Yarrowia lipolytica: one gene and its partner. The protein of the gene in region 1 interacts with the protein of each later gene in a pairwise test. Links are inferred from orthologs where the notes say so. Each region holds a gene or a part of one and is shown on either strand. Other genes may lie near its edges.

Region 1 (5,231 bases):
AATATGGCTGTCTCGGAAGGCCTGAAAATTATGAAACCAAGAAAAATCCACCTCCACGGTCCTATCTGACGCATGAGTTGATATCCAATTGTCCAATACCATACACGACTTTGCGGGGCTTTTGGATCTAATCTCCTCCACCACCCACCCTGAAGTGCTCTCTACTATCTAATTACTCAATATGATCGACAAGAGTGGCCCACGTGGAGTGTGCCTGATCTGCAGTTATTGAACCCTGAGACGGTGGGGTCCGGAGCAAAGCAAACTATCCCGCGCAGTGGCGGAGCGTTTACAGTTGGGCTAGAGATACTTTGGTACCGGATCTCGGAGGCCCCCAACTTCCTGCTTCCTATTCCCGCCAGCTTATCGTACCCCACCTCTGCTCAGCCCACCTAGTTCCGATGCAAGGACGACGATCTATGCACCAAAGTTCCATCGGGCTACAAGAACAAGCAAGACAAATTAAAAAAGACAAAGAAACGGGTGGGGTCAACGGTACGGGAGTGGGGAACACAAACGGGTGGGTCTACGTCGGAGCGTTGTGACATCATGCTTCACGCCAAATCCCCTGCAAGACAACAGCCTTCTGTGACAGACATGCGGCGGGATTACTGTAACACTTAGTTGCGGGTACTGTAGGAAAGCCAAGTATCCGAATCCGTACTTGTCGCCTTGGCCATATATCATTATAGTCCAATTCCTATGCACAAAGCTCTCTCTCTGTCTACAATTCACACACAAAATCACAGTATTGTACAGGTATACAACCTTCTTCATTATCTACATATCGTCGTTCGACGGGACTCCTCTCACTCAAGGTGAGGGTCTCACAGTGTGAAACGGATTTGACTAGGTCAAGTACAAGAGTCTGGCGGTGCTGGGCTTTGCATGTCTCTGTCTGTGGCTGTGTCTGTGTGCGCAGTGCAATGAAGTGCATCTTCATCGCCTCTACTCACCCTTCTGCTGTCCAGCCCAGATCTCCTCGGCCTCGACAATACACCGGTTGTTTGCCATCATCTTGTTGATAGTCTCGACATATTCGTCGTACTCGTCAGAATCGAAGACAATGCCTCCTCCGGCCTGCAGGTACGCAACACCGTCCTTGAGAAGCATAGTTCGAAGAGCAATGCAAGTGTCCATGGCCTCTCCGTTGTAGCCGAAAGATCCAACGGCACCGGCGTAGACACCTCGCTTCTCCTTCTCAAGCTCTCCAACCAGCTCCATGGCCTTGACCTTGGGGGCACCAGAAACGGTTCCGGCAGGGAAAATGGATCGGAAGGCGTCGAATCGGGTCTGGTCGGGTCGCAGAACACCAGACACCTGGGAAACGAGATGCTGGACGTGCGAGAAGGTTTCGACACCCAAAAGCCGATCGACGGAAGTGGATCGAGGATCACATACTCGGTTGACATCGTTTCGGGCCAAATCGACCAGCATGACGTGCTCAGCTCGGTCCTTCTCAGAGTTGAGAAGCTCCTGAGCCAGCTGGTTATCCTCGGCAGGAGTAGCTCCCCGCTTAACCGTTCCAGCAATGGGATGAGACACAATTCGGCCGTTCTCAATCTTGACGAGCAGCTCAGGAGAAGCACCAACAAGCTGGAAATCAAGATAGTCAATGTAGAACAGGTAGGGAGAGGGGTTGACGGTTCGCAGGTGTCTGTAGACGTTGAAGGGATGCAGGTCGGTGGGCCGAGCTACTCGCTGGGAGGGCACGGCCTGGATGATGTCTCCCTTCTTGATTCGCTCCTTAAGAGTGGTCACGTGCTGTTCGTAACCCTTCTGGCCAATGTTGGAAGTGAAAGTCTTTCCAAGGGTCACGGGTCCCTGGGGGGGCTGGGGAACCTCAGGGGAAGTCAGCAGGTCTGCGATTCGCTGCACCTCCTTCTTGGCGTCCTCGTAGGCCTTGGTGAGATCGGTGTCGGCCTCAACCTTGACATTGGTGATAACCTGGAGTCGCTGGTAGACGTGGTCAAAGGCCACAATGGTGTCGTAGAGCATGAGGGCACTTTCGGGGACCTCCAGGACGTCCTTGAGATCTCGCTTGGTTCGGGGCTCGAAGTACTTGATGCAGTCGTACGAAATGTATCCGATGGCTCCTCCACAAAGAGTGGGGACGCCGGGGGTCTGGAACTGTCGGTACTGGTCGAGTTCAGACTCCAGCAGGTTGAGCGGATCAACGTCAGGTCCATGGGGAGCACCAGTCTTGATCATCTTCCGGGGATTAGATCCAATGAAAGAGTAACGGGACAGATGCTTACCACCGAGGGCAGACTCGAACAGGAACGAGGGACTTCGGTTGGGGTCATCCAGACGAGCCAACTTGAGGTAGGCAGTATGAGGAGTCAGGGCCTCAGCATCCACATAGGCGAAAACGGGATAGAGGTTGTCGGGAAGAGTCTCCTTGGTGGCGGCGGCTCGGTTGTCGGCCACGATGGTCTGAAGAGCCTCTAGAGTGGGTCTGAGTTGGATCATTGTGGAGTAAGTGAAGCCGTTGAGCTGTCGGTGTTACAACGCACGTTTTACTGGTACCGGATGACTCTATGTCGAGGAAAGTTTCATACACACAAATTTCAAATAGGGTTATGGTATGAATCACTAAGCTACTGGTAAGGGGACTGCGGCTATACACTGTTAGTGGAGAGCTAAGGTAGAGGCGTTAGTGGCGCTAGTGGGGGCTCCGTGGGGGGGACTTTGTTGTGTGTGTGAGCTGTTGGTGAGATTCTCCATGATGTCTACTGCTCTGTCTTTTCATTGCAGATGTGGGGTTATGCAAGCGTGGTCACTGGGTGTACTGAAATTGTGTTGATGTAGCATTGTATTGGGGAATTTGCAATACTAGTAGTATCGTCAGTACAAGTGTGTTATGAACTACTATTGGGTAGTCTGGTAACAGTATGTACTGTTGCCCGAAAAAAAACCCTTGGGTTACCCAGTGGTTGTTCATTGTGGTCATGTAATCGTTATTGGGCTGTATTCACCTCTCGTTCGACCTTGCCACATCAGCTCTTCTCCTTTGTATCTTGTAGATGTCATTTTCTCCTCTAAAAAGACAAAAAGTCCAACTAAAACTCTTGGTTTTCTAGTTGGGACAGCTGCATAAAATATGCACTCTGGTTGTGTCACACCAAACATTTATTTACACCACTTTAATCAACCCATCCACTACTCTGCCATCACCCACCCAACAATGGACGCAGCGTCGGTACTCGACCAATACGTCCAGGACCTGGCGAACCTGCCGTCCGAGGTCGCACACATCCTCGAAGAGGTCCGAGACAAGGATCTCAAGTTCTATGAGACCCGCAAGCGCATCCAACAACGCGACAACCAGATTCACAAATTCATCAGAGCAAATGGCTCCCTGGCAGAAAACCCAAAGGAGCAGGCGGCATACCCCAAAATACGCCAGGACTTCCAGACCGCCATGGAGCTTCAGGACGAGAAATGCACTCTGGCAGCACAGGCGCTGACCCTAGTGGCAAAACACGTCAAGAAACTGAATGACGACATCGACAAGCTGGATGCCGAGGGTCTGTTGGGTGGCGCGCCACCACAGAAACCTATTTCAGCCAACAGATCGCGTGCCACGTCATCAGCCACTCCTGCACCGGAACCCCCATCCCGAAACTACACAAGAGACAGAGCCAACAGTCGAAGAGGCGGTTCTCCAGCGGCCAGTCGGTCTTCTACTCCTGGAACACGACCGCCAAAGAAGCGAGCGACTGACAAGAATAACGAGGCTGCATCTATGAGCAAGGAGTCGTCTGTGGGTGCCTCTGAGCAGCTCCGAAACATGCCTGAGACGGTGGCGGTGGGATCTCTGGATGCTGCTATTCGAGCCGGACCTGGGGAAGATGACGAGGTGCTCTACTGTTTCTGTCAGCAGCCGTCATTCGGAGAAATGGTTGCTTGTGATAACGATGACTGTCAGTACGAATGGTTCCATTACGACTGTGTGGGTCTGGCAGAGCCTCCCCAGGGAGTCTGGTTCTGTCCTTCATGCTCCAAGGGACGAAAGGGTGATAAGAAGAAGCGTTAACAGATACAATTCTGGAGTTTGAAACCAGCTTCCCACTGTTCTTCAACGCCTTCTACTGATCTTCCTGAAGCCGAGCCGCAGGGCGCAATTTCCATGTCACGTGCCCCCAAATCACGTGCCCCCAAAAATCGCGTGCGTCGCAGGCTGTATTCCAGGCGTCATGAACGCTGCGATTGAGCACTGTTTCCGGGGCTTGTTTAGTATAATCATAAAGGGAAGGACATGTTGATCGTTTTTGTATGAGCCCCAACAGCGCCCTTACGATGAGATCCTTCCCAAACTTGTAGTAATATATTATTTATTTGTCTCTATGGAGCGGCAACTGTATCAGCTCTTTTCCTCGCCAAAATACTTTTATCTCGCTGTGGTTTCGATTCTCAAGACATCGTCACCCGCCTCGTCCAAGTGTTATCATGGACGTCTTCGACGATCGCTTAACAGTGGTGTTCGGCTCTCGGCATGTCCGAAGAGGAAAGACTGCCCTGGAAATGCGTACAAGATGCGAGGTGACTCCACAAGAGGAAGTCACAGGGTGGAGGGACATAAACAGTGTGGAGCGGCTATACGAGGAATACGAAGAGGCGCGCGCGTCATCGTACTGGCGGGGTGTCTTGTGAGGGTTAAATTTGGTGTCGAAAACAAAACCTCCTTTAGAGACAGGTCTACTGGTGGTTCGCGTTCTTTTTGGTACCTCGCGTTTCACAGCGTTCCGGATATATCCGATTATCTCCGAGCCGAGATCGGGAAGGGTCTCACAAAATATAGGCGAACAACACAAAGAAAAAGAACCCCATCAGAGCACGTGATGCCATAGCATGCTTGTGTGGTCCACGAGGTGAGTGCGATAAGCAGAATTGTCGGCGTGTGCCGTATTAGGTGACTTTGCTTTTTCCGCCGTTTGTTTGTTTGTTCGTGTCTATTGGTTGGTCGACAGAAAACAGAAATAAAAACAAGACCAGTGAGGAGGATCTCCCTGTTGAAGGCCCTACTTGTGCTGTAAAATACTTCAAAAAAAAAAAAAACAGTAGCAGGGGAAACCGGCTCACGTGACAAGGTTAACTAATACCCCTCATTACACCGCGGATGCATGGTGTGGCGCAAACCCGGCGGGGTCCTAGGCAAGATCAGAGGTGGAAATCGGGCATTGGTGAGTAGTAGAGGCGGATTCCGCCGCCAGGCAGCTCGTCGACTG
Region 2 (5,339 bases), on another chromosome or scaffold:
CTTTTGTCCCCTCTTTTCTGGCTCTTTTTGCCGCTGTTCTCCTTGTATTGTGTGAGTCTCTCCTGGCACCAAGTTGCATGTCTCGCTCGTATTTTTCCACAAGCATTCCATTGATGCACGCATCATTCCCGACTCCCCTGCTTGCAACGTGCAAACAGCACATGTCGATTAGCTCAGAGAAAGAGCCCAACTCAGACGCGATGACAGGCACCCAGAATGCTCTCAAGAGCAGCCGTCGCAGACCCCTGAGTCGCCCGAACGGCCCGTTTTCCACACGGTGTACAAGTGCGAGTAGGAATGCTTCCGATGTACGCTGCGGTCGCTGCAGAATGCATTGGAAGCTGTGGAAAACAGGTGAGCTTTGGAGACCGCACAAGTGAAACATTGTCCAGAATTACTGGCCGTTGATGTGCCGACGCCATACCAGTACCGATTTGTATTCGTACTCTTAATAATGGTGATTTACAGTGTCCATTGCAACTGTTGTCGATAACCACCTTGTTTCACGCCTAATATACCCCGTTCCTCGAACAAGCACGAAGATGGCCATAGCCAAAAGAAACGATACTCCTCAAGGTACAACCTCCATCTACCCCTGTAAAGTATCACGGCAACGGAAAAAGAAAAATGGATCAACGTCACTACGCAGCTATCATTCCACAGACACGTGAACACGTCGCTACATGTAGGGACGCAAGTCCACGTTGAACTTGTAGTATCGAATGGAGACAGCGGACAAAATTAGAACAGGCCAGGAACAGACTGGAAATAGAACATGCCAGGGCATCAGGTTCAGACTTGCACTGCCTCTCGGATATGTGTCTTTGCCTTGTACGAGAAATAATAATCATACGGCTCGTCTCAATAATAGACAGGGCCCTCGTCCAGTTAATTATACAGTGTAGGAAAAAATGTGTCACTTTGGCGTGTGAGCTCATATTATTATCTACAGCTGAAATTATGTAGCAGCCACCGTCAGCATAATACACTGTAAGAATGATGGAAAATGCGGAATTTACAAGAAATTTACTCTTGTATCATCTATTGTTGACGTAGGAATGTGCACTGATAAAATATCTCTACTTGTAGTCTTTCAATGTCTCTTTCAATGACATCAAAAGACATGTTATGACATGGTCTTCTGGAAACATCTCATCATCTATACTCTGGCTAAGATTTTTGTGGCGCAACAAGCGCATGATTCTGGTCCAAGGACCGGACTCAGTACTGTCGAACGCGGTTCGATGGGGTCTGTAGAGGTGTACGGAACGAGAGCTCACACTCTCCAACTAACCAATGAGCTCCTTGACAAAAGCCGAAGTGTCCTTGGCTCGCATGAGAGCCTCGCCGACAAGAACAGCCTTGACACCCTCGGAAACGTACTTTTCCACGTCGGCCTTGCACGTGATGCCACTGAGCGCAGCAATCACAATATCCTCCGAGGCTAGGCTCATGACTGAAGAAGTGGTGTTGAGGTCCACGTTGAACGAATGCAGGTCTCGGTTGTTAACACCAATGAGCTGAGCGTTGAGCCTGTTTGCACGCTCCATCTCGGGCAGAGAAGCAACCTCCACCAACGGCTCCATGCCCAGAGACTTGGAGTACTTGTAGAGGTCTGCCAGCAGCTCGTCGTCCAGCATCTTGACAATGAGCAGCACGGTGTCGGCTCCATTGAGTCGGGCCTCAAGAATCTGGTACCGGTCGAAGATGAACTCCTTTCGCAGAATGGCAGGTCGGTTCTCCAGAGAGTCCACGGCCAGACGAACCAGGCGCATGTCTTCCAGCGAGCCCTTGAACCAGTGAGGCTCAGTGAGGACAGAGATGGCAGAAGCGCCAGCGTTGGCGTAGATGAGAGCCTGGGTGGGAGCATGAGCCTGCAGATCGATAGGGCCCTTGGAGGGAGAAGCTCGCTTGATCTCGGCCATCATGGCAGGAGTCTTCTGGAGAAGACGCTGCTTGACATCGATGAGCTTGGGAGCGTAGGGCAGCGACTTCTGCAGATCCTCAAACGACTGGCCGGGGATCTTTTTCTGGGCGTCGACGTCGGCCTTTCGCTGGGCGTAGATTCGCTGCAGAATAGAGGTCTGGGCAGGGGTCTTATCCTCGGAAGACTTCTTATCGGCCCAGGTTCCTCCTCGAAACTTGAGCACGTTGGAGATCATGGTTCGGCCGTCATCTGTCAGAATGCCCTCGGGGTGGAACTGCACTCCCTCAATGACATACTCCTTGTGTCGCACTCCCATGATAACTCCATTGTGGGTCTCAGCAGTGATCTCCAGACACTCGGGCAGAGACTCTCGAGTACCGGCAAGAGAGTGATATCGAGTCACCTCCACATCCTGGGCAATGTTGTCAAACAGGCCCTTGCCGTCATGCTTGACGGGAGAAGACTTACCATGGACAATCTCTCCAGCAAAGCCCACAGTGCCCCCAAAGGCCTCGTACATGCACTGCTGGCCCATACAGACTCCAACAATGGGCTTCTTGCCCTTGAAATAATGAATGGTATCGATAGACACTCCAGCATCGGTCTTGGGGTGTCCTGGGCCCGGGGAAATGAAGATGATGTCGGGGTTCTTAGCCTCGATCTCCTCCACGGTGATCTTGTCGTTTCGAAAAACCTCCACGTCGGCTCCCTCCTGGCACAGGTACTCGTAGATGTTCCAGGTGAAGGAGTCGTAGTTGTCGATCAGAAGAACTTTGGTCTTGGAAGCCATGGTGGTGTAGTTCGGGGGTGGTGACTGAGCCGTCTTCTGGAGAATTTCAAAGTCAAACACTGTGACTCGACTTTAGAGTTTGAAGGTGTGGGTGGTGGTGCTGATACTACTGTACAATCCAAGTAAGAGCAGTGAAAAAGAATGCTTGTAGCTGTTCGGGAGCAGGGAAAAAGGCTGCTAGGGGTTATTTGGGGCTGTATTTTTCAGCTCACCGCTCTATTTATATCTTATCGTGTCTGCACCATCCATCCCATTCACCTCTTGTAACACCACGCATGCTACAACGGCGAACTTCTTCATGAGTGCATATGATGGAGTTACGGTTATTGGTTGGAGGAGATTTGAGAAGAGTATAGAAGGATATTGGCGAGAGGCACAGGTGTTGCTTAGTAATGAAATCCAGCATTAGTCCTACCAACACGTGAGACGCAAGTCTGGTAGTTGTACTTGGTTCACACCAACCATCATCTCAGGAGTCCGTTGTATCGTACAACTTCTCCAGTAAATTCAATCTCCCAACACCCAAAGTCGAACTCTTATCTTCACAGCACCCTCACAGAACAGGACATCTTGGAAGAGCCTTGAACTCCACCATACCCCATACAGCACCATGTCATCACACATCTGCACAATCACGGCTGAAAATATCGTTTCGCAACCGGAGACGGACGAAGCTGTGTCCCAGGGCTCCCGTCTGGCTGGCTCCTTCGCCACATCTGACCGACTCGCCCGCAACCTCAAGATCGGCCATGTCAACCGAATCATCGCTTACTGTGGGACCAGCGACGATAAGACCAAGATTGTGGCCCAGTGCGGCGCCCAGAAGGACGACGAGGCGCTTATTTCGACTGTCATTGGGGATAGCCTCGTCGAAACTCTCGCCAAGCTCGACAATGTCAACGATGCCGCCAATGAGTTGCTCAAGTGACGGGAGTGAATGGGCGATGCTCGTGAGCGGGCATCAACCAACAATGGGATGAGGATCAGTGCTGGCTGCGGTTGAGTCGGTTCTTGTGGCCTTATTTGCATGCCCTAAGATGACCATACTACGGTCGAATCCACAAGAACCCACGACAAACGGTGTCCGTGTTCGTGCTTTTTCGCCTCCTCCAAATCAAACAATATTTATTAATATATACTTCCACCAAACACCTGGCCTGGCGCCAACCCCTTGTCCTACTACTTGTAGCATGTCCTCTATTCTGTGGACGTCGTAAAGCGAATATCCTCCACAGGTTTTTCGCCACCTCCAGTAAGATAACATAGCCCTTTTCATGCATCTATGCCTCACCGAAAACAGAGGGAAACTTCTGGCAGTATCCAACCAGCTTTTTCACCTGCTCGGGGTCTGTAGTTAGTATCTGTTAGTGGCAAGATTGGTGTCTCCGTTACTGCGTCATTCCGTTAGTCCGTCGTTCCGTCACTCCTACTCACTGATGTTCTCTCCGAAATCGGTGGCGGTCAGACCAACAATCTGATCGCTTCCCTCCACCTTGCCAACAACCTCGTAGAAGTGGCCAACCACGTAATCGGAGCCGTCAGACTTGACCTTGACGGGCCCGTTGGCATCCAGGTTGACGATCTCGCCGTCCTGAGACTCGACCTTGCCGATGATTCGCACCGTCTTTCCATAGAAGTCGCCGAGAAGACCGCTGTTGATTCGTGGGGTTGTGGGGAAACTCATGGCTGTGTTTTTGAAATGTGTGATGTTGATGAAAGAAACACTGGCCTCAGGTAATTAACACCCAACCTTGCATGCGACGTGACGCGTAACGTGAGTTACCCTGAAGTGAGCATAGAGGTGAGAATGATTAATATGGGGGATTTAGTAGAAAAATCACATACTTGTGGTATATTTCCTCTGGTTGCTACAATTCAAACATCCTACATGTGTCGCTTCATTCAGTCGTATATTCATTCATCTTTCTATGTCAGCTATATTACTTGGTGAGATTAACCATGACCTTCTTGAGCCGAAGCTCATCATAGGGACGAGCCACCAGAGAAGCATAGTTGAACAGATCATAACAGCTGGCAACCTCCTCGCTCTTGAGAGAAAACAGCGTGCCCGCAGCCACGGCCAGTCGGAAGACGGCCTCGTTGCCAGTCACCTTCTCCCACACCTCACTGATGCTCTGCAGAAGACCAAAGGCAGCCTCCACGTTGCCACCGTCGTATGCGTTCACAGCGAGATCCAGCAGCAGTGTGGCAACAGCAGTCTCATATTGGCCAAACAGCTTTTCCGACTTGTAGTCAGCCAGAGTCCCTTTAACGGTATCAATGACCGACTCAACGTCGGGGAATGTATTTTTGGCAGCCACGCTGTTGACCACAAACCGAACCCCCATGAGTTTGTGGGCCAGCTTGGGTGATGCAACAGCGCCCTCAACGGCTGTGACAATCTCAGGCTTTGGAGCGCCCAGCTTCTCAGCCATGAGGCGCAGAATATCCAGTCCCAAAAGAGGCTCAGACCAGCTAGAAACAATCTTGAGCACCACTGAAAGCAGGGAGGAGCCCAGTTCGTTCTTGGAAAGCGCAAGTTTGAGTGCAGAAAGCTCGTCATCAGCCAAAGGGGCGGCTTCGGACGAGTTAAACTTGTCCAGACCCTTGCTGAGAGCCGCA

The links. The genes of interacting proteins can lie anywhere in the genome.
Region 2: the proteins of YALI1_E17754g (region 1) and YALI1_D13963g interact in binary tests that used the Saccharomyces cerevisiae proteins (3 or more experiments, as listed by UniProt). The link is inferred for Yarrowia lipolytica from reciprocal best matches to the Saccharomyces cerevisiae genes TRP2 and TRP3.

Annotation. Positions count from the first base shown.
Region 1 is NC_090774.1:1,772,946-1,778,176, forward strand, and holds YALI1_E17754g (uncharacterized protein), read right to left. Parts: upstream 2,473-5,231; coding exon 949-2,472; downstream 1-948. Other genes in the region: YALI1_E17760g (uncharacterized protein), read left to right, coding at 3,104-4,039; YALI1_E17773g (uncharacterized protein), read left to right, coding at 4,350-4,853.
Region 2 is NC_090773.1:1,393,625-1,398,963, forward strand, and holds YALI1_D13963g (uncharacterized protein), read right to left. Parts: upstream 2,718-5,339; coding exon 1,290-2,717; downstream 1-1,289. Other genes in the region: YALI1_D13976g (uncharacterized protein), read right to left, coding at 3,998-4,065, 4,152-4,401; YALI1_D14004g (uncharacterized protein), read right to left, coding at 4,658-5,339.